Linked DNA regions of Macaca fascicularis. Each later gene encodes a partner of the first gene's protein in a complex. Links are inferred from orthologs where the notes say so. Each region holds a gene or a part of one and is shown in the gene's direction. Other genes may lie near its edges.

Evidence for each region.
Region 2: the proteins of SPTSSA (region 1) and SPTLC2 are in contact, whole or in part, in a cryo-EM structure (PDB 7K0K), measured with the Homo sapiens proteins. The link is inferred for Macaca fascicularis from reciprocal best matches to the Homo sapiens genes SPTSSA and SPTLC2. Residues at the interface, in NP_612145.2 of Homo sapiens: Trp15, Tyr18, Gln19, Leu21, Leu22, Val23, Thr24, Ala25, Tyr27, Met28, Leu29, Glu30, Pro31, Trp32, Glu33, Val36, Phe37; in NP_004854.1 of Homo sapiens: Leu73, Gly77, Val80, Leu81, Phe84, Leu87, Arg88, Leu91, Leu126, Arg129, Ile130, Tyr156, Met475, Pro476, Ala477, Lys478, Gly480, Ala481, Arg484, Glu485, Asp533, Leu534, Leu535, Gln536.
Region 3: SPTSSA (region 1) and SPTLC3 share a complex: the UniProt entries of both Homo sapiens proteins name them as parts of the serine palmitoyltransferase (SPT) complex. The link is inferred for Macaca fascicularis from reciprocal best matches to the Homo sapiens genes SPTSSA and SPTLC3.
Region 4: SPTSSA (region 1) and SPTLC1 share a complex: the UniProt entries of both Homo sapiens proteins name them as parts of the serine palmitoyltransferase (SPT) complex. The link is inferred for Macaca fascicularis from reciprocal best matches to the Homo sapiens genes SPTSSA and SPTLC1.
Region 5: the proteins of SPTSSA (region 1) and ORMDL3 are in contact, whole or in part, in a cryo-EM structure (PDB 7CQI), measured with the Homo sapiens proteins. The link is inferred for Macaca fascicularis from reciprocal best matches to the Homo sapiens genes SPTSSA and ORMDL3. Residues at the interface, in NP_612145.2 of Homo sapiens: Ile44, Tyr50, Thr51, Val54, Phe55; in NP_001307730.1 of Homo sapiens: Val36, Leu38, Ser39, Ile40, Pro41, Phe42, Ser44.

Annotation. Positions count from the first base shown.
Region 1 is NC_088381.1:102,233,021-102,237,301, reverse strand, and holds the end of SPTSSA (serine palmitoyltransferase small subunit A), read left to right. Parts: intron 1-1,168; coding exon 1,169-1,272; 3' UTR 1,273-3,512; downstream 3,513-4,281. UniProt on the Homo sapiens protein: Component of the serine palmitoyltransferase multisubunit enzyme (SPT) that catalyzes the initial and rate-limiting step in sphingolipid biosynthesis by condensing L-serine and activated acyl-CoA (most commonly palmitoyl-CoA) to form long-chain bases.
Region 2 is NC_088381.1:145,474,334-145,478,614, reverse strand, and holds part of SPTLC2 (serine palmitoyltransferase 2), read left to right. Parts: intron 1-2,466; coding exon 2,467-2,602; intron 2,603-4,281. UniProt on the Homo sapiens protein: Component of the serine palmitoyltransferase multisubunit enzyme (SPT) that catalyzes the initial and rate-limiting step in sphingolipid biosynthesis by condensing L-serine and activated acyl-CoA (most commonly palmitoyl-CoA) to form long-chain bases.
Region 3 is NC_088384.1:74,212,171-74,216,451, reverse strand, and holds part of SPTLC3 (serine palmitoyltransferase 3), read left to right. Parts: intron 1-166; coding exon 167-302; intron 303-4,281. UniProt on the Homo sapiens protein: Component of the serine palmitoyltransferase multisubunit enzyme (SPT) that catalyzes the initial and rate-limiting step in sphingolipid biosynthesis by condensing L-serine and activated acyl-CoA (most commonly palmitoyl-CoA) to form long-chain bases.
Region 4 is NC_088389.1:122,396,524-122,401,297, reverse strand, and holds the start of SPTLC1 (serine palmitoyltransferase 1), read left to right. Parts: upstream 1-1,625; 5' UTR 1,626-1,663; coding exon 1,664-1,720; intron 1,721-3,989; coding exon 3,990-4,097; intron 4,098-4,774. UniProt on the Homo sapiens protein: Component of the serine palmitoyltransferase multisubunit enzyme (SPT) that catalyzes the initial and rate-limiting step in sphingolipid biosynthesis by condensing L-serine and activated acyl-CoA (most commonly palmitoyl-CoA) to form long-chain bases.
Region 5 is NC_088390.1:60,982,283-60,986,762, reverse strand, and holds the end of ORMDL3 (ORM1-like protein 3), read left to right. Parts: intron 1-197; exon of another isoform or gene 198-202; coding exon 203-393; intron 394-1,131; coding exon 1,132-1,283; intron 1,284-1,709; coding exon 1,710-1,845; 3' UTR 1,846-3,349; downstream 3,350-4,480. UniProt on the Homo sapiens protein: Plays an essential role in the homeostatic regulation of sphingolipid de novo biosynthesis by modulating the activity of the serine palmitoyltransferase (SPT) in response to ceramide levels.

The DNA of each region.
Region 1 (4,281 bases):
TGACCCCAGTTCAAAAGCAGTTATTCCTCTTAGCATCCTATGTAACTGTGCAAAGCCAAAAGCCCTTAGATTTGACATAATTTTTGCTAGCAGTATTTTGTGTGGCCCCAGAGGAGAGACCTCTTGTTGACTTCCATATATGCAGTTTCAGTTCCTTTTGTAATAAAGGAGCACAGTACAGAAAGGTTATTGTTTAGGTTATCAAGATGACTTTTATTTGAAGTTGTTGCAAATAGTAGCAATAGTGATAATGATGTTTAATAGTGATAATAATAAATAAACGTTTGATAGTAGCAGTTGCTGTCATTTTATATATCCCTAAGCTAGTGTATGATTGATTTTAGCTCTGTGTGACTCTAAAAATACTTTTAGCCACATTCTAGTCTAACTAATTCTAAAATTCTTTGATCATACATTCTTATTAGTTAAGTTGGTAGATCTTTTACAGTCATTAAATAGAATTTTATTCCTGTATATTTATTTCTTAGGTAGAACAGTGTCACATCCTGTGCTTCATTTTAAGCAGTCCTGCTGGGTGCAGTGGCTCACGCCTGTAATCCCAGCACTTTGGGAGACCGAGACTGGTGGATCACCTGAGGTCAGGAGTTTGAGACCACCCTGGCCAACATGGTGAATCCCTGTCTCTACTAAAAATACAAAACTTGGCTGGGCGTCGTGGCGGGCGCCTGTAATCCCAACTACTCAGGAGGCTAAGACAGGAGAATCGCTTGAACCCAGGAGGCAGAGGTTGCAGTGAGCCGAGATCATGCCACTGCATTCCAGCCTGGGCAACAAGAGCAAAACTCCGTCTCCAAAAACAAAAAAAGAAAAAAAAGAAAAAAAAAAGAGAAGAAAAAAAAACATTTTAAGCAGTCTGATGTTTTTGACTACACAGGGAGAATAACAGTACCTACCTTATATGGTGGTAGTAAAGATGAATGAGCTAAAAACAAAACAAAACAAAACAAAAACCAACTTAGAATGGTGCCAGGCATAGTTGTTAGTAGCTAGCATTATCGTTCTTGTTTTTTTTTTTTTTATCAGTGCTTGATATAAATGAGAAAGTACTAAGTGAATGGGTACTTCATCATAAAAGAGTTGTTGAAAACATGTGGGGATTTAGTTTTGAATAAATTAATAATAATAAGTTTCCTTAACTACAACTCAGATTCAATGCTGGTTTCCATTGTGGGGATGGCACTATACACAGGATACGTCTTCATGCCCCAGCACATCATGGCGATATTGCACTACTTTGAAATTGTACAATGACCAAGATGCGGCAGGATCAGAGGTTCCTTGGGGAAGACCCACCCTACGAAGTTGGAATGAGACCATCAGATGTGATAAGAAACTCTTCTAGATGTCAACATAACCAACCTTATAAAGACTAAAATTCATGAGTAGAACAGGAAAATCATCCTGACTCATGTGTTGTGTTCTTTATTTTTAATTTTCAAAGAGGCTCTTGTATAGCAGTTTTTGTCTATTTTAACATTGTAGTCATTTGTACTTTGATATCAGTATTTTCTTAACCTTTGTGACTGTTTCAATATTACCCCCGTGAAAGCTTTTCTTAATGTGACTTTGAGTACATTTTAATTGCCTTCTATTTTTAAAACTCAAAATCATTAGTTGGGCTTTACTGTTCTTGCTATTGTATGGCATATACATCTGCCTGGATATATTTCTACTCTTGACCAAAGTTTTGTAAGAACAATATAAGATTTCGGGTAGGGGTATGGGGAGGGAAGATATTTTATTGAGAACTACTTACAAAAGATCTGTAAGCTTGAACTCAGGAGTACAGTTTTAGCTATCTAGACTCTAACAGCTTTTGCTTTAAAATTATTAAATTGTTTCTTAATGAAAAAGAAAAGATCTTGCTAAAGTTAAAATAAAGAACGTTTCACCTTTTAAATATTTTATTCTTATGTGGACTTATTTCCACAAAACTTTGGTGATAATTCTTGAGACAAAAGGTGGTTAAGTAGCATTATTATGTAATGCTTATATACCATAGAGTTTTTAATAGAAGAGAAATCCATTTCTTCTGAGGGTCACTATTAACAGTGGACTTCCTTAAATTTAGTTTAATGATTGTAATGGGTGCTGCATTTGCACATTGCATTAAGTTATGATGAGACGAATTGTTGTTAAAAATTATAGCAAAAAGAAATGTAAACTTGGTTAAAATCTTTTCACTCTTTGTATTGTTTTTTTTAAGGTTTTTATTCCTTAAATGTAAAATGACTACCTAATTTTTTGATGTAAATACATTAAATTCAAAGAGAAAAAAATCAGCTGATGTAGCAGTATATCTTTTCCTTAATGGTTAAATATTGATCTAGTATTTACATTTCTGAATTATTTCTGTGGAGGACCAGATAAGCAGTAAGTATGTTTTATCCTATATGTCTTGCAACATGAAAATGTTGCTAATTTTAAAAAAGTAGGCATTATGTGTGTGTGTGTTTTTTTTTTTTTGAGACGGAGTCTCACCCTGTCGCCCAAGCTGGAGTGCGATAGCATGATCTTGGCTCACTGCAACCTCTGCCTCCTGGGTTCAAGTGATTCTCCTGCCTCAGCCTCCTGAGTAACTGGGATTACAGGCACGCACCACCATGCCTGGCTAATTTTTTGTATCTTTAGTAGAGATGGGGTTTCACTATGTTGGCCAGGATGGTCTTGAACTCCTGACCTCCTGATCCACCTGCCTTGGCCTCCCAAACTGCTGGGATTACAGGCGTAAGCCACCGTGCCCGGCCAAAATTGAGGTATTTTTTGCCCAACATTTTAAGGACTAGACTTTTGAAGTATTTTATAGTCTAGAGGTCTCAAGTAATATATACATGTTTAATATTTTTAGAGTCAATTGATATCACAATTAGGAATAGTGAGAATAATATGTAATTACTTGGTTTGAAGTAGTTAAAACTTGGATATGGTTATATCTGAGCTATGGTCATACTATCTCAAGAAAAATAATATGAGGATTTAACTTAAGATTTGTTCTATTAATGCCCAAATTTGGCTTTCCTCTACTATCCCCCATAGAGAACCACTAACAAGTGGATGTCTAATATTCCTGTGGTGAGTTGAAGGCAGGAAAAGTCGAGAATCATTAGTTTCAATGGGTATCCAGATGACCTATCCTGGCCCTCTACTCAGAAACCTGCAATTTGTCCTCACTCTGCTGAAATTCATTAAATTGCTGTTGTATAACTGATGGTTATTATGAACACTGACCTGTGAGACATACGGAAGATAAAATTTAGTCTTACAGGAAATCTTTAGGAGAGTCAAAAGAGAAATGGGAGCATGTCTCTTGAGAGGTGATCAGGGAAGTTTATGCTCACTGTCTGATGCAAATGTCTAGTCTATTTGTTAGTAAATAACAAACAGGGAAATAATTTTCACTTTTTGTTTAAAATAAGGTATTTACAAGCATACCTTGTAGTTATTGTGGGTTCAGATTCAGACCACTGCAATAAAGTGAATATCTCAATAAAGTGAGTCACATGAAGTTTTTTGGTTTTCCCCTGCATATAAAAGTTACATTTACACCATCCTGTAGTCTATTAAGTGTGCAATAGCGTTATGGCAAAACAAAAACAAAAACAAAAACAAAACCCATATGTACCTATCTTAATTAAAAAATTATCTATTGCTAAAAAAAGCCAATGATTATTTGAGCCTTCAGCAAGTCATAATTTTTTGTTGGTGGAGGGTCTTGCCTTGATGTTGATGGCTGCTGACTGATCTGGGTCATAGTTGCGGAAGATTGGGGTGGCTATGGCAATTTTAAAAAATAAGACAACAATAAAGTTTGCTGCATTGATCGACTCTTCATTCATGAAAGATTTATCTGTAGCATGTAATGCTATTTGATAGCCTTTCGCCCACAATGGAACTTCCCCCAAAATTGGAATCAATACTTTCAAACCCTGCTGTTGCTTTATCAACTAAGTTTATAAAATATTCTAAATCCTTCGTTGTAATTTCAACAATGTTCATAGCATCTTCAGCAGGAGTATAGGCCATCTCAAGAAACCACTTTCCTTGCTCATCCATAAAAGGCAAAATCTTGTCTGTTCAAGTTTTATCGTGAGATTGCAGTAATTCAGTCACATTGTCAGGCTCCATTTATAGTTCTCTTGCTATTTTTAGCAACTACAGTTAACTCCCTCACTGAAGTTTTGAACCCCTCCAAGACATCCATGAAAGTTGGAATCAACTTTCCAACTCGTGTTACTGTTGATATTTTGACCTCCTCCCATG
Region 2 (4,281 bases), about 43 Mb from region 1:
GTCTCCACTACTAAGGTGATAGGAGTGGAGTCCCCTTCTGAGGACTCTGTTAGATAACCCACATATTATAAGATCTTTACATTTTGGTGGATAAAAATACAAACTATTCCCAGCTCCATGTGAGTGCAGGATTGTTTGGCCTATTGCTTTCTGATGGATCTTTTCCCCAGCCTCTGCTAGCTTCCCTTCGTGTGTATACAAATCAGTACTCTTCCCAAAGTTCAAAGGGACCCCTCTGCAGATCCCTAAAGTGCTCTCATCACACCCCCGCTCCCTGCTCCTGTACACTGCCCAGCAAATTCTAGCCCCCGCAGCCTCCCCAGCTCTGATCTCAACGGACAGCTCTCCACTCCAATCTCAGATGTCCTCAGCTGGCAAGACTGGGCCCTCCTTCCCTGTGCAGCAGCCTGTGGCCTGCCTTCAGGCAACGCAGTCTGGCACTCCCCGTGGCTCAGTGTCTAAAAGTCATTGTTTATGTACTTTGTCCAGTTTCCTATTGTTTACAGCAGGAAGGTAAATCCAGTCTCTAGTACTCCATGACTGAAAGAAGTCTCATCTTCTAAATGTAGATTAAGCAGGTATTGATATTTCTAGGGGGAAATTAGGGTACTTGGCTCATCAGTTCCCAACATACTTAAATATAACACACTTTAATATCTGCTTTCTTCTTTGTAACTTAAATGATGACATAAATGATGCTCTTCAGTGTTCACACGAGGCTAATCTAAGCTTGAGTGTTTTTCTCTGATCAACTTGAAATTATCTGCATAAAGAGTATTAATTTTGACTTATTTGTGGCCAACTTATCTAGAGTAGCTTCCCATGAATGATGGATATGTTAGTATTCCAATTCTAAGGACATTTGTTAGCTATCTGTATGTCTGGCTAATTTGTCATAAGAACTTATGTATCATGTTTGGATTTTTAAAAATAAGAACTTTGGCTGGGCATGGTGGCTCACGCCTGTAATCCTAGCACTTTGGGAGGCCGAGGTGGGCAGATCACAAGGTCAGGAGATCGAGACCATCCTGGCTAACACGGTAAAACCCCGTCTCTACTAAAAATACAAAAAATTAGCCGGGCGAGGTGGTGGGCGCCTGTAGTCCCAGCTACTTGGGAGGCTGAGGCAGGAGAATGGCGTGAACCTGGGAGGCGGAGCTTGCAGTGAGCCAAGATTACGCCACTGCACTCCAGCCTGGGCGACAGAGCAAGACTCCATCTCAAAAAAAAGAAAAAAGAAAAAAAAATTGCTGATTTTATAATCTATATATGAAAATTACTGCAGCCTTTTTTATTCATGAGTATTTATGGTTGAGAAGATTCTAAAATAGTTCTTAGCCTTTTACAAGTGGATCTTTTAAATTTATTGCATTGCTCTGTATAACAGAACAATTATTTGGATATCTTTTCAAAGATCAATTTACCATAATGTCAAAACCTGCCCAATTATTTAGTCAGTTCGCAGTTACAGAAATGTGCGTTTTAATCCATTTGTGTTTTAGGGAAGATGAGCACAATAGGATTAAAGATACGACTTTATACTGTTACAAATATGCTACTGCTGTCTGATTAGAGTTTTAAGGAAACAGGCAGGGTGCAGTGGCTCACGTCTGTAATCCCAGCACTTTGGGAGGCCAAGGTGGGCGGATCACTTGAGGTTAAGCGTTCGAGACCAGCCTGGCCAACATGGCGTAACCCTGTCTCTACTAAAAATACAAAAATTAGCTGGAAGTGGTGGTGTGCGCCTGTAACCCCAGCTATTCAGGAAGCTGAGACAGGAGAATTGCTTGAAGCCGGGAAGCAGAGATTGCAGTGAGCTGAGATCGTGTCGTTGCACTCCAGCCTGGGCAACAGAGCGAGATGCCGTCTCAAAAAAAAAAAAAAAAAAAAAAAAAATTGTAAGGAAACAACAAAATGAAACTCAGAAGATGAAAATTTGAGGGACTAAATTGCTTCATCTCTGGTCTCATGTGTAAAATTTATTTGCATCACAGTTGATTGGAATGAATCTTAAAGTTAGAAGACGTAAATTCTAGTTGAAGCTGTGCCACTTGCTACTTGTAATGTGGCACCTACTGTTGTGCAACTGTAGGCATGTCACCACCTTGGTGAGAGTCTCTTGACCTATCATATGAAGATAATCATAAATACCCTGCCTACTGTCAAGGGATTTGTGGAGTGCTCAGTGAGGGGGTATGGCTGAAATTCTTTGAGGATGCTAACGCTCCATTAAACGTTTTTTACATTATTATAACTTCTGCTGTTAACAGGTAGAATGACAGAATACAAAATGAGACATTTTACATTTATAGTCCTTTCAGTTTACTGTGTAAAATATTTTATGGTGAAATGGGAAAAAACGAAACAGAACTGATTAGGTAGAATGGAGATAGAGGAGATTGCTGTCTTTTTTTCCATTCCTTTTTACTTAATATTATTTTGTTTTCTCTCACCACGACTTTGCAGGTAAAGAGTGTGTACAGCAGTTAGCCGAAAACACCAGGTATTTCAGGAGACGCCTGAAGGAGATGGGCTTCATCATCTATGGAAATGAAGACTCTCCAGTAGTGCCTTTGATGCTCTACATGCCTGCCAAAATTGGGTATGTTTTGTTGCAGATCACAGACTAGTCTGTCCTTATACTTATCTGTGATGTGAGACTAGGGCTTATGTATTTCGTTAGGGAAAACGGTCTTGTCCTTATTGTGTTAACCTTCATTTGGTACATATGACATAGATCAAATAGTGAATTCCAAATTGTTAGGTATGTTAATTTGTTGTTCTTTCATTAAACATTTGAGTTTCATGTACTCTCTAGGGGCCTGGGATAGATCAGTGAATAAAATACAAACATCTCTGTCCTTGTAGAGCTTACAGTCTAGTAGGGGCAACAGTCAGACAGACGTAATAAATGAACTGTGTACTATGTTAGAAGGTGTCAAGTGCTATGGAAAAAAATAGAGCAGGACCTATATGGGGAGTTGAGAGTGCCCTGTGGGCGGGCAGATAACACTATTAAATAGCGTGGTCAGGGTAAGTAAGCCTCCATGGGAAGGAAAAATGATTTGAAGGAGCTGACAGTTAACCATTGGAGAAAGAAGCATCTGTGCAAAGGCCACAGTGCAGGAGCGCGCTTGCTTAGGTGACCTAAGAGTAGCAGAGAGGTCCCTAGAATTGCAGCACAGTGTCCCAGGGGGAGCAATGGGCCATGAGGTCAGAGAGATTTTATCAGAGTGTGTTTGTTACTGGATACTTGCCAGGTGTGCAGATTACACCAGCTTCTTTGGTTTGTACGAGGCATACATAATGGAAAGTCTTGCCCTACGATAGCTTTCAATGTATTTGAGAAGTCCAGATATATAATGAAACCAGAAGACATTTGAAAAGCAAATGAACAGTAATTATACTGAACAAATTTTATTATATGCAAAGTGGCCCTGCAGATGCAGAATAAAGGAGCGACCTGCTGAGTACAGGCTCAGTAAGAAAGGCACATCTCGTTGGATGGGTGAGTTTTGAGCTGGATCTTAAAGCATTTCTCCAGTTTGAACTCATTGAAGGAGCAATTTTTAAAAATTTTTTAATCCCCCGTGTCCACCACAGTCTCCAACACTCAGTAAGTGTTTACTGAAATGAAAAGGGGGAGGAAATTAAATCAGGGAGCCTGGAAGTAATGTGATTCAAAGAAAATGAAAGGGAAGTAAGGAAAAGGTCCTCCCTGAGAGAAAAAGAGGAATTCGGGTTTCAACATGAAGTCATATGGGTAGTTAGTATTATGGCTTCAGAGGGGATATGGGGAAGGATTTTCTTCATTCTTCTTTAAGTGGAATTCTCATAAACAAACACGAAGAGTTATCAGATCCAAAGGACTCAGTCTAGAGCTCTCTCTTTAAAGAAGGCTGTGTCTCCTTTATTCTATATAGGTGCAACTGACTGTGTATACTTTAATTAGGAAAGATTTAGAGAAGGTGAAGAAGAATTAGAATAAGGCACTAGACAGTTTGGGAGCCTGTGCTGAAGTTACAGGGCACCCAGGTTCATGCTGACACAACGGAGGTATGTTGAGGAAGATGTACCAGTACTACAGAGAGTGGGAAAAGGCTGAAAAGGCTGGCATTAATGTAATGCCAAATGTGCAGGATCTATATTGCCCAGGCTGGAGTGCAATGGCGTGATCTCGGCTTCCTGTAACCTCCACCTCCTGGGTTCAAGCAAATCTTGTGCTTCAGCCTCCCCAGTAGCTGGGTTACAGATGTGTGCCACCACACCTGGCTAATCTTT
Region 3 (4,281 bases), on another chromosome or scaffold:
CAGTGCCCACACCTACTCCCCAGGAGATATCTCCCTTCCCTACTTCCTCCTCCCAGCTAGTGCTGCTGACCTGCAGAAAGACTTAGAGATGCTTGCCAAGTTGACCTGAACTTTACTTCCCTCTTTCTAGCGGAAATTGATGGATTTCACGCCTGTCTCTTTTCAGGGTTGCAGAGAGTACGGCAACTTGCGAAAAACACAAGATACTTCAGACAAAGACTGCAGGAAATGGGATTCATTATCTATGGCAATGAGAATTCTCCTGTTGTTCCTCTGCTTCTTTACATGCCTGGTAAAGTAGCGTAAGTATCCAAGGCATCTCATAATCACACCTAAACCCCAAGGTGACCTAAGATGGCTTTTTGGCACAGGCATCAGATTATGCATTTGGAATGGGGTGATTGAGTTCAGAATTCACTCATACAGCTGCTCAGAAGCCACCTGCCAGCCTATCAGCTAGACCCTTCCCACAGGTCTTACAGAAAGGGAACCAGGTGCTAAGATTGAGCTGTCTCCCTAAATTCAAGTCCTGTGAAATCAGGGAAATCACTTATCTCCCTCAGCCTCACCTGTAAATTAAGCACGATCCTGAGCCTCCTTCTGACCCAAGACCATTCTCAGGGAGAACTTCTGAAGATCATCTCTCCCCATATTACCATCAAAACAATGTGATCAGGCTCTGTGCTTTCTCCCATTGAACTCTGTGGCCATCCTCAGAAGAGGACATTCTCACTTCAAGCATGGGGAAGCTGAGGCTGAGAGCAGTTAAGCAACCTGCCCCAAGTCATACAAGTCAAACAGCAGTAAAACTAAGATGCAAAAACCCAAACCAAGGCTCACATTGAAGCTCATGCTCAGTTTCTCATGCCCTTACTGTGAACCTGTTTGGGGGTTGTTTACTTGATTGTAACTTTGAAACTGAGCATTAGCAACAACTGTATAAAGAGGAGAACATGACTTTTTGTCAGTTTGGCAGGGACAATTTTATACGTGAGTCCTTCTCCAACCTACTAGAGACTAATATAATTAGACTAATTACATGTTGTTAAGAGGAAGTTAACTAGCAGAGCACATTGGCTCATGCTTGTAATCCCAGTACTTTGGGAGGGTGAGGCAGGTGGATCACCTGAGGTCAGGAGTTCAAGACCAGCCTGGCCAACATGGTGAAACCCTGTCTCTACTAAAAATACAAAAATTAGGTGGACGTGGTGGTGCATGCCTGTAGTCCTAGCTACTAGGGAGGCTGAGGCAGGAGGATCACTTGACCCCAGGAGGCAGAGGTTGCAGTGAGCTGAGATTGTGCCACTGCACTCCAGCCTAGGTGACTGGGTGATAGAATGAGACCCTGTCTCAAAAAAAAAGGAAGTTAACTAAAATCCTTTCTGAAGGTAAAATGTTTGTGTCTCTGACCAAGCACATGATAGAAATTCATATTCAACATACTATGCATCAAATTCTAGTGGTCCTAACTCCCCTCCAGTGTAACCCATTGCTGGAACTTTGTTTGACTCTCTAATAGCCTGACTAGATTGGCAGAGTACTTGAAGTATAGAAAAATACCAATCAAAGAGGCTTGGGGCTTACTCATGAAAACTCACAGAGGGCAAGACTGAGTTTTAAGTTCCTAAAAGACTGATTCTTCAGACTATGTCTTGGGCCATTTTACCACAGCAAAATCACAAGCAGTTAAAACACACATGAGTTTTTAGCATGCCACATCATTCCCACCAGTTGGCCCTTTGTTCACAGATTTGGTCAGGAAAACAGTGCCTGAAGTGTCTGAGGACATAATGTGCCACAGAAATGTTATACATCGTACTGCTGTGTGATAATGTCAAGGAGGGGTGACAACGGTGACTGAAAGTAGCAGACAATCCAAAGGCCTTTAACCACCTGATTTTTGAAGACACACAAACACACACACATGCACAGACACACATACATTTATTCAAAATGATTGGGGAAATGATGTGTGTTGGAAGAAATAGTCCAAACTTAGCTCAGGTTTATCTAGTATTTTATCATTAGCTCAAAAGAAGGCACTGAAAATAAACGTGTCCAAGGTAAAACACACATAATTCTGGAGTGTTACACTGACAGTAGGGAGTGTTCTGGATAGTTCCAACTTTAATAACAAAAGCCAGAATTAGAATTCCAACAGGTTGGAAAACTGAACCAACCCAATGAGAAGAGTCCGTAAGTAGTGAAAACAAATGCACGTAACTTCAAGAATTCATACAATATGCTATGAACAATATGCTTCATATAAAAGTTATGCTCTATGGTGTGGTGAAAGGTTTGGAATCAAAAAGAAATTTGATTATTCCTCTTCCTAGCTGGGGATTCTTGGACAAGTTACTCAGCTTTCTGAAGCTCCAGCTTTCTCATTTATAAAATGGGACATAATAGTATCGATTTCATAAGGTTACTGTGAAGATTAAACAAGATGATGTCCATAAAGCAGTTAGCCTGTTACCTCTTATATAAGAGCTATTCAGTGTTAGCTGTCATTATTAATAGCATTAATCAATAAAGTCATTAATAATGTCATTTTTAGTAATGTGTACAAAGCACCTAATATAGTAGTTGGCGTGCCCTAAGCATTCAATCAGTGGTAGCCATTTTACTACTACTACTCTGCAACAATGATGATCATTATCAGTTTCAACTGAGTACAAGGTTGAGTCACCATGGTTGCACAGCTCTCCAAAATAATTATTACAATTTTTGGTTGCATTACGAAAAATAAAACGTCCAGAAAAAAATAGTAGGTAAAGATCCTGCTACACTCCACTTCCATATTGCTATATTCACTGGATAATATGTCAAACCATCTTGTTTCTTTCAACTTAAGATTGTTTTTTAAGAAGAGCTAATATCACAGAGTACTAAATATATGCTAAGTAAGGCTATTAGACCTCAGTGATTACCCATGGAGGGTAGGATGTTTAGCCCTAGTTTATATATGAAGATGCTAAGACTTGGAAAGGTCAAATTACTTTCTAAGGCCGGGTGTGGTGGCTCATACCTGTAATCCCAACATTTTAGGAGGCCGAGGCAGGTGGATCACCTGAGGTCAGGAGTTTGAAACCAGCCTGGCCAACACAGTGAAACCCTGTTTCTACTAAAAATACAAAAAAAAAAAAAAAAAAATTAGCTGGGCATGGTGGCAGGCACCTATACTCCCAGCTACTTGGGAGACTGAGGCAGAAGAATCGCTTGAACCCGGGAGATAGAGGTTGCAGTGAGCTGAGATCACACCACTGCACTCCAGCCTGGGCAACAAGCATGAAACTCTGTCTAAAAAAAAAAAAAAAAAAAAAAATTGCTCTCTAAGACTCACACAGGTTGCAGGCAGCAGAGCCTAGAATTCAAAGCCAGTTTCATTGGCTTCATAAATTAGAGCTCTTTTGAACACAGAACACAATCTCTCAAGCTTTAGTCCATAGGGAAAAAATGCACATCTCATTAAAGCAACACAGAGTATAACTATAACTATTTTTAATGTCATCATTGGTGATTCAAAAGGCAGCAATCACTACAAACAGAAAAAAAAAAAAATCTGGCTCACCTAACGAAACAGAACAGGTTAGTTACAAAAGGTAGTATTATCTGTTACCGGTAGGAGTTGCTGGCAAGAGTTTGCCCTGCTGTCTGGCTTTGTTCCCTTCTGTGATATTTCTTTGTTGGAAGTTTATAGGTAGAGACGTTTTTGAAATAGGGTGTTAATTGTATAAGCCAGTGTGGAAGCACTTCTTTCATTTGGTCATTTTAAAACCTTTGATTTTACTAAAGAATGGTGATCTCCACGTTTCCTCCTATGCAGAATGAAAACATAGTCTGTAGCAAGTTATCCTTTTGAACAAAGCCTTGTTATAAGTCTACCACTGGAATCTTCTAGAGAGCTGTGTAATGTGATTTCACCCATAAAACATACTTAAATAATCAAGAATGTATTGTATTTGGTATTTGGTAAAGGGTTTGCATTTTTCTTCCCCTGTTCATGTAATACACTTGGAAGATGGTGTTATACAAGAGGTAGTGATTCTGCATACAATGCAATGCTAATGTTTATTATCATTATTATTATTATTATTTCACATAGTTTAGTTTCTTTCAGCCTATTGCCAATTGCTTCGGGGAGTACAAACACAAAGGCTCATTATATAAAATTTCCAGTGCAATCATACATATTAACTTAAGAACACTAGCTTTAGTAGTGTAAGGTTTAAATTCAGAAGTGCTCCAGGGAGACGCCACATTAGCCTAATGAATCAACAG
Region 4 (4,774 bases), on another chromosome or scaffold:
ATTGCAAATAACAACAAACTGCTGCATGAATGGTTGGAAATCACAGATGTGGTGAAGAAGGCCTTTCTAAGCAATATGCAGATCCAGAGACAAAAAGGGAACAGACTGAAGCACTGCATAAAATTTAAAATTAAAGTATGATGAAAGAGCAGAAACCACTAGGTGGAAACTGAGCAAAAATAGTTTTCACATAGGAAACAGAAAAATGTAAGATATGCAGAATGTATAGAGTTCCTATAAATCCATAAGAAAGCAAAAATAACCAATAGAAAAATGGATTAAGAATATTAATTGGCGATTCATACAGTCTATAAATGCCACTAAATATATAAGAAGCTGCGCAACCTCATGAGTAACCAGAAGCATCAATAATGAAGGTTAGTGAGGTATCATTTTATCTCCATTAAACTGGCAAATTTTTTTAAAAGATTGATAATATCCATCATGGACTACAGCATGGAAAAACTTTCAAATTATTTTAATTGGTTGAGCCATTTTGGCAGTACTTATCAAAATTAATAACGTGCATAGTCTTTAGATATATTCCATTTTGAAGAAACCAGTCAGAAAAACTCCAACATGCACAGAAAGATATACATAGGAGGAACATCGACAGTTATGGCAGCATTATTTGTAAGAGAGGAAAGGTGGGAACAACATAAGTATTCACCAATAGGTAAATGTTTAAATAAAATGGAACGAGAAATATACATAAATTATTCCATTAAAGTCTTCAGCCATTAAATACGAGATATATTAGGGGAAAAAATGCTGGGAAAAAAAAAAAAGTAAGTTGTAGAAGAGTATTGTCCCTATGATCTCAATCATATTTAAGAAATCCAATCCAATTAAGTATGTGTGCGTGCATACTGCTTGCATATGCATTGTAAGGCTCCAAAAGGTTCTGCACCAAACTGCTATAGATTTAATACCTGCAAAGCCTTGGCCTGTGTCTGACAAATAGAAGTGCTATTTGAGTTGGCTATTTTTGTGTATAATTATGCATTTCTTAATGATAATGCATTCCTGGATTACTTATGTTACTAAACGTAAACGTATTGGCCAGGCGCGGTGGCTCACGCCTCTAATCCCAGCGCTTTGGGAGGCCCAGGCGGGCGGATCACCCGAGGTCGGGAGTTTGAGACCAGCCTGACCAACATGGAGAAACCCCGTCTCTACTAAAAATACAAAATTAGCCAGGCGTGGTGGCGCACGCCTCTAATCTCAGCTACTCGGGAGGCTGAGGCAGGAGAATCGCTTGCACCCGGGAGGCTGAGGTTGCGGTGAGCCAAGATCGTGCCATTGCACTCCAGCCTGGGCAAGAGCGAAACTCCGTCTCAAAAAAAAAAAAAGTAAACGTATTTCAATCATTTTAATACTCTGCGCCCAACTGATGGCCAAGGGTAAGGCCCGTTCATTACTACTTTCTCCATCCCAAATCCAGCAGAGTGCGTAATGGACACAAGGTAAACAATCCCTGGAAGAATTTTGCGGAATCCCACCCGACCCCTCCCAGCCTCCCCTCAACCAGTGCGCGAGTGCGAGGAGGCGGTGCCCAGCGCTCCACCGCCCCGCCCTCCTCGGAGGCGAAGACGTCACTGAGCGGCGACGCGCACTTTTAAAACGTGTTTGTGACCCGCCTTCCGTAAGGAAGCGGTTAACTATGGCGACCGCCACGGAGCAGTGGGTCCTGGTGGAGATGGTTCAGGCACTCTACGAGGTGGGCTCCGCGCCGTGAGCGGTCCGCGACCACACCCGGGCCTGGGGAGGGTGGGACGGCGCGTGTGGATTTGTGGCCTGGGACCTCGGCGGGACTGGCTCGGTCACGCCCAGACTCGGCGTCTCTTGCTGGAAGGACTGCCGGGAGCTTCTATTCCCAGCGGTTGAGTGTAGGGAGGAACGGGTGGGGGCTGGGACCGAGGGTCTCGGTTTGAGTTCTTATGCTCCGGGTCCCCTGGAGGGTCAGGAAAGGAACATGTGTAAGGGGTCGCAGGAGACAGGTCTGCAAAAACCAGAGTTTAGACGGACGATAAAACGAAGTGGTGAAAATGAGTGGAAAACCTTGGTCTGGGAACGTCCTGAGGAAGTCAGTTCTTTGGAACTATGGAACAGTTCGTTGGGGAATAAAATTGTAATAAATTGGAGTTTGTTTTTGTCGAAAAGAAACCAAGTGATTTAGGATCTGTGAATAAGAAATAGTTTGTCATTCTTCTGCGCACGTCAGTTTTCTATCTTATAAAGATACAACTAGTTTAGTAGATACTTATTTATTGAGACGGAATTTCGCTATTGTTGCTCAAGCTGGAGTGCAATGGCGCGATCTCGGCTCACTACAACCTCCGCCTCCCAGGTTCCAGCGATTCTCCTGCCTTAGACTCCCAAGTAGCTAGGACCAGATACCACCACACCCAAGTAATCTTTTTATTTTTATTTTTTAAATAGAGACGGGGTACTTGCTATGTTGCCCAGGCTGGCCTCGAACTCCTGGCCTCAAGCAGTCCTCCTGCTTTGGCCTCTCGAAGTGCCGGGATTACAGGCATGAGCCACCACACCCAGCTGCAACTGAATTTTAAATTTCACTTAAATAGCCCCATGTAACTTAGTGACTGTCCACATTGGACCACACAAGTCTAGATGCTAGGGATAGTGCGGTGAACAAATAGGCAAAAGTGCCTGTGCCTATAGAGCTTACATTCATTTCAAGTGAATTTCACGTTACTTTTAATGACTTAGTGTCACCAAACTTCATATCACTGTCTACTGGTAGGGGTAATGATGGTGTCTTCCATTGCAGGACATACTGGAAATTTTATCTTGAAACATAGCAGAGACAGCAGATATGGCTCTGTCTTATGCTCATATATTAAGTGATGCCCAATATTAGATTAATTATAGTGACCTAAAATGAGTCACTAAAATTGAATAATCTTTTTTATAAATGATTTTTTAAAGAAATGGATTATTTTCTGTTAAATGTTGTTTGCTTCCTTTTTGAAGATTGACAGTAATGTAACTTTTCATTCCCCAAAACTGTCCAGCAGTGAGACTTGGGAGAACTCCTTTATGTAACATTTCCTGGGAAGGAAAAGAAGGGGCGTTTGTGATTTTTATTCACTAGACAAATAGTTTCTCAACTTAGGTGATTTCTTTTTGGAGTGAACTCTTAACTAGTGGCTTGGGTAGATGTTTGCTTGCTAGAATCCAACTATTGAGAAAACTAAAAGGGTATTTAGACATTCATAAATGAATTGTATTTAGGGGGATGAGCAAATTTTAAAATTGATAAAAATAAACTTCTTACTCCCAATTCCTATGCACATTGAATGTAGAATATGAGTATCTTGTATAGTGTACCCAAAAAAGAAATAACCACTGAAATTAAATAATCTGATAGTTGATATTGTTTTAAATATTGGGATTCTGTGTTAGATTTTATTTATTTATTTATTTGAGATGGAGTTTTGCTCCTGTTGCCTAGGCTGGAGTGCAGCAGTATGATCTCGGCTCACCACAACCTCCACCTCCTGGGTTCAAGCGATTCTCCTGCCTCAGCCTCCCAAGTAGCTGGGATTACAGGCGTGCGCCACCACACCCAGCTAATTTTGTATTTTTAGTAGAGACAGGGTTTCTCCATGTTAGTCAGGCTGGTCTCGAACTTCCTACCTCAGGTAATCTGCCCACCTCGGCCTCCCAAAGTGCTGGGATTACAGGTATGAGCCACTACGCCCGGCCTAGATTTTATTTTTTAAATTTTTATTCCCAAAGAAGTTTTAAAAGCTAAAAATATTAGGGGTTTTTCATGTGAAGGAGAAATCGCCTGCTATTAGAAATGGGGAAAGGAATGAATAGAAATTAAGGGAGCTTCTAAAGTAAATTGTTACGAATAGGCTAAAAGTCATAGGCGGCAGTATATGCAGGTGTAGTAAATTTTATGTGCAGGTGTTAGAAGTGTATGGTTCATTTCTTACTTGTATTTGACTCACTCTTAGGCTCCTGCTTACCATCTTATTTTGGAAGGGATTCTGATACTCTGGATAATCAGACTTCTTTTCTCTAAGACTTACAAATTACAAGAACGATCTGATCTTACAGTCAAGGTAAGAAATTAAATCTGTTTTAATTATTGAGTATGTGATTATAGTTGCTCTGTCCTTCCAGAAAGGATTTTTGGTGGCTCAACTATGTGTGTTAAAGCATTTTCTGTAATGTAAGGAAATCAAGGGGAATGAAATATCAGGGTAGGCAAAATATGGGGAAATCTAGAAATAAAGTCAGTACCCAAATGAAGACCATATTATGTCTTGGATACTTTGCTAGGAGTCAACAGCAGTCTTGCAAATAGATGGTTAGAGGAAGCCTGAGCGGCTGCTGGAGTTTGAATGTTCATATGAGGGTTGTGTGAGTTGCTGCAGAATAGCACAAGTATTTCTGAAGTGTGGGATGAAGTCTCCCCTGTGGGCTTCCTGAAGGAGAGTCAGAGTAGAAAAGAATCCTCCTCATACCCACCCCACATGGAATTTTGATGTGTTGTGTATGGTAAAGAAAAAAAAATTCTGAGCATAGAAGTTAAATTTTCATAAATTGTCAAGTCACCCACAAAACTACATGGAAAAGAGCCTCTAGCTCTAGTGATAAGGAAAGAGGCGCGCGTGGTAAGTGCACAAAACTCACAAGTGATTCTGTTTTTATTCTAGCCACACCTAGACATGGTATTTCTAGCAGTGTATTCCCTGTGACTTTTGCGTTGCAACAGACAATTTTGATACTGCCGAAG
Region 5 (4,480 bases), on another chromosome or scaffold:
TTATCCCAGCCCAGCAGCAGGAAATGAGTAGAGCTAAGTCCACATGGACTTTCTCCACCTTCCATGCTTGAGAATCAAAAGAGTGGAACTGCCTGGAGTTCTCAGGGAAGGAAGAGCCTGCCTCCCAGTGGGATCCGAGGGTGAGAGGGGGCAGGGAAAGCAGTGTGACCTGTCTGACCTGTGCTGCTTGTTTGCAGAACAGTGGAGAGGGGCAGCAGGATGAATGTGGGCACAGCGCACAGCGAGGTGAACCCCAACACGCGGGTGATGAACAGCCGTGGCATCTGGCTCTCCTACGTGCTGGCCATCGGGCTCCTCCACGTTGTGCTGCTGAGCATCCCCTTCGTGAGTGTGCCTGTCGTCTGGACCCTCACCAACCTCATCCACAACATGGTGAGAGCCTGCCTGCTGCCTGCTCCTGCCCTCTGGGCTGCTCTTTGGCAGGGCTGAGGGATAGGAGGAGCCTGTTGGGCCTGGCCCAGATGTCAGGGTGACGTACTGACGTCTGCCTCCAGAGCCCAGGCCTAGTCCTTATCTCTCTGCCTTGCTCCCCCTTCTGGGTTCCTGCCCTGTGTACCATGATAAGAATCAAATCTGCAGATTTTTCCACATCTCTCAGGTGGGGTGGCTGTGGGCCTGGAAGATGTGCCCCTGAGAGCTAAACAAAGGACTCCAGAGAGTTCCTAGGACCCGGGAGTCCTGGTGCCTAGGCTGGTACAGAAATGCCCCTTTCTCAAGTTAGCTTCTCGAACCGTCTTCTACTCTTGCCCTTCTCTGCTCCCTCACCACTTGCTACCTTGCCCTCTTTGGAGGGTAAGCAGGGTTTAGTCCCATCTGCTTGCCTCCTCCCAGCAGGCACAGGGGGCTATGAGTGGCCTGGAGGGGCAGCATCTCGGTGCCTGTCTCGTGGCTACGCATTCTCGTGCCAGGCCTAGCCTGTCCCCCAGGGAGTCCCCTTGTTCTTCTCCTGCCAGGCTCCCAGCTTCTTCCTGACCTCCAGCCCACATCCCCCTGCCCAGCAGAGGGAGGCTCCAGATCACTGGGAGTTACTTCTGTCTGTGACTGGGTGGAGGAACTGGGCAGGGGGCCCTTTTCCCTTTTGTATCCTCTAACAAAGACCTCGTCCTCCAGGGCATGTATATCTTCCTGCACACGGTGAAGGGGACACCCTTTGAGACCCCGGACCAGGGCAAGGCGAGGCTGCTAACCCACTGGGAGCAGATGGACTATGGGGTCCAGTTCACGGCCTCTCGGAAGTTCTTGACCATCACACCCATCGTGTTGTGAGTGCCTGGGCTACAGGAAGACACCAGCAGGCAGGGCAAGGCCTGGAGGACCCCAGGGCCCAGTCATGCTTATTAACCCTGCTGTGGCTCCTGGTGTAGGGATGAACAGAGGAAGTTGGAATATTCCTGGGTCTTAGACTGAGCTCAGGCTTTGGGCCTCCCTGGCCCCGTCTTTCCTCCATTGGAGCTTTCTTCCTGCTAGTGAGATAGGCCCACAGGCTTGGGGTGAAGTTGGGAGGTGGGGGCCCCGCTGGGCCGGGAGGGGCCTTTTTAGCCTGAGAGCTCTTGCTTCTTACTCTGGTCTGGGGACCTCTTCTGTAACTCCTTAGCCGTCAGGATTCTGCCTTTCCCTACACAGGAAGTGAGGGAGGAAGGGGTCCTCCCAACAGTCTTTTATCTCTCTCCTCACCCTTCCCCTCCCAGGTACTTCCTCACCAGCTTCTACACTAAGTACGACCAGATCCACTTCGTCCTCAACACTGTGTCTCTGATGAGCGTGCTCATCCCCAAGCTGCCCCAGCTCCACGGAGTCCGGATTTTTGGAATCAATAAGTACTGAGGGTGCAGCCCCTTCCCCTGCCCAGGGTGGCAGGGGAGGGGTAGGGTAAAAGGCATGTGCTGCGACACTGAAGACAGAAAGAAGAAGCCTCTGGACACTGCCAGAGATGGGGGTTGAGCCTCTGGGCCTAGTTTCCCCCCTGGCTTCCCCCAGTAGCCAACTTGGAGTAGCTTGTAGTGGGGTTGGGGTAGGCCCCCCGGGCTCTGACTTTTTCTGAAGTTTTTGATCTTTTCCTTTTGCTTTTTGGATAGAGACTCCATGGAGGTGGTCATGGAATGGGCTTGGCTCCTGGGCTGAACATGGACCACGCAGTTGGGACAGGAGGCCAGGGGAAAAACCCCTGCTCACTTGTTTGCCCTCAGGCAGCCAAAGCACTTTAACCCCTGTGGAGGGAGCGGAGGGCGGTACGGCTTCTGGATTGTGTCACTGTGATTCCTAGGTTTTTTCGATGACACGCAGTGTGTGCTTTTGTGTATGGAAGCAAGTGTGGGATGGGGCCTTGCCCTTCTGGGTAGAGAGCTGTCTGATCCAAGTCTCAGGCTTTTGGCAGCTTCCCTGCAGCGCACCCGGGGCCCTGGGTGGGAGTGGGGAGGGTCAGGTGGGGGGAGATGGGGTGGAGTGTGGATGGCTTGGTCCCAGAGGTGAGGGGCCAGGGTTGCTGCCATCCTGGCCTGGTGGAGGTTGGGGAGCTGTAGGGGGTTAATGAGTCGAGACTTAGAAGAATGGGGCCACATAGCAGCAGAGGACTGGTGTAAGGGAGGGAGGGGTAGGGACACGAGCTAGACCCAGTCTCCTTTGGGATGTGGGCAGGGAGGGAAGCAGGCTTGGAGCGTTGATTTACCCACAGAATGTGATAGTAATAGGGGAGGGAGGCTGCTGTGGGCTTAACTCCTGGGTTGGCTGTTGGGTGGACAGGTGGGGAAAAGGCCCATGAGTCATTGTAAGCACAGGTCCAACTTGGCCCTGACTCCCGCAGGGGTACGGGGAAGCTGTGACAGAAACAATGGATGCTGTGGTCCTCTGCAGGCCCTCACCCCTTAGCTTCCTCATGCAGACTGGCACTGGGCAGGGCCTCTTATGTGGCAGGCACATGTGGCGCTGTGAGGCCACCCCACGTGGGGTCGGTGGTGAGAGTCCTGTAGGATCCCTGCTCAAGCAGCACAGAGGAAGGAGCAAGGCGTGGCCTGTAGGCACTGTCTCAGCCTGCAGAGAAGAAAGTGAGGCCGGGAGCCTGAGCCTGGGCCGGGGCCTCCTCCCTCCCCAGTTCGACTAGGGACAGTGTTAATTTTGAAAAGGCGTGGGTCCCTGTGTCCTCTTCCAGGGGCCTGAGGGAGCAGGAGAGGTCACTGGGCCTGTTTTCTGCCTCCTGGCCCTGCATCTCCCACCCCATGTATCATAGGGAACTTTCACCTTAAAATCTTTCTAAGCAAAGTGTGAATAGGATTTTTACTCCCTTTGTACAGTATTCTGAGAAACGCAAATAAAAGGGCAACATGTTCCTGTTTCCCTGTGTCTGGTCTCTGCTTCCTGGAAGGCTGAGGGGAGGGGGCAGGGGTGTGGGCACAGCTCCGGCTGAGGTGCTGGTGGGGTATCAGTGCAGCTCTGACGGTGGCGGGAGGGGCGCTGGGACTGCTGGGCTTTCTGCTGGCTTCAGCAGGGAAATCCCCCAAGGGGGCTGTGAGGGAACTGGCAGCGACGGCAGCAGTAGTCAGAGAGCAAAATTCTCTGTGCTTTTGCCTGGCTGTTCTCCGACTGGTCTTGCGCCTTGACCCCACAGGCTGGGGTGACCTGTGCCGTGGCCAGGGAGGGGGGCAGTCCGGCAATGGTTTACACATGGAACCAGGGTCCCAAGCAGTGCCCAGTCCTTCCCAGTAAATCCCCAGCCCTTCTCCAGTTTCTCACTTCTCTCCCCAAGGCCTTTCCCCAGTCACCTCTCCCCTGGGAGTGCTGTGTTTCCTTCTGGCCTTTCAGTGGAGGGGACTTTTCATACTTCCTGCTCCCACCATAAGCCTGAGTGGCAGGGGAAGAGGTTCTGGGGACTTTCTGAGGCCACCATGGCTAGGAGAGAGGAGTCCTATAGCAAGGAATCCTTATCTCACGAGGGCACTGACCTTCCAGTGTGTTCTGCGCAGTATGAGCTGCTATTCTCAGGAGAGGCACAAAGTCCCAGATAGAAGGGAGGGGCTGCCCCCAGCAGCCTGGGGTCTCTGGCCCTGGTCTACCATCACAGCACCCTTGGAGTGAGTGTCAGGGATGTGGGATATTTGCTCAAGTCCAGCCACCGGCCCTCTCCCAGTAGAGCCCACACATTATTGGAAAGAGAAATATAGCCACTGCTCTCATTCCTGGGAATAGGGGTGCCCTGGTTGCTTTCACCAGCCTGCAAGAGTACAGTCAGGGTGAGGTGCTGGGGAACATCAATAACGATCTAGGTTCGAATCCCAGCTTTGCCACTTGTTAGCCATGTTGCTGTGTCAACTTCTCTGAGCTTCAGTTTCTTCCACTGTTGTGTAAGGATAATGCCTCCTAGGGCTGTTGTGAGCATTAGTACTGTGCCTGGCATATAGTAAATAATATATGGTAGCCATATTATTATTATTATAATTGTTACTATCACCACTGTCATCTCTATTTA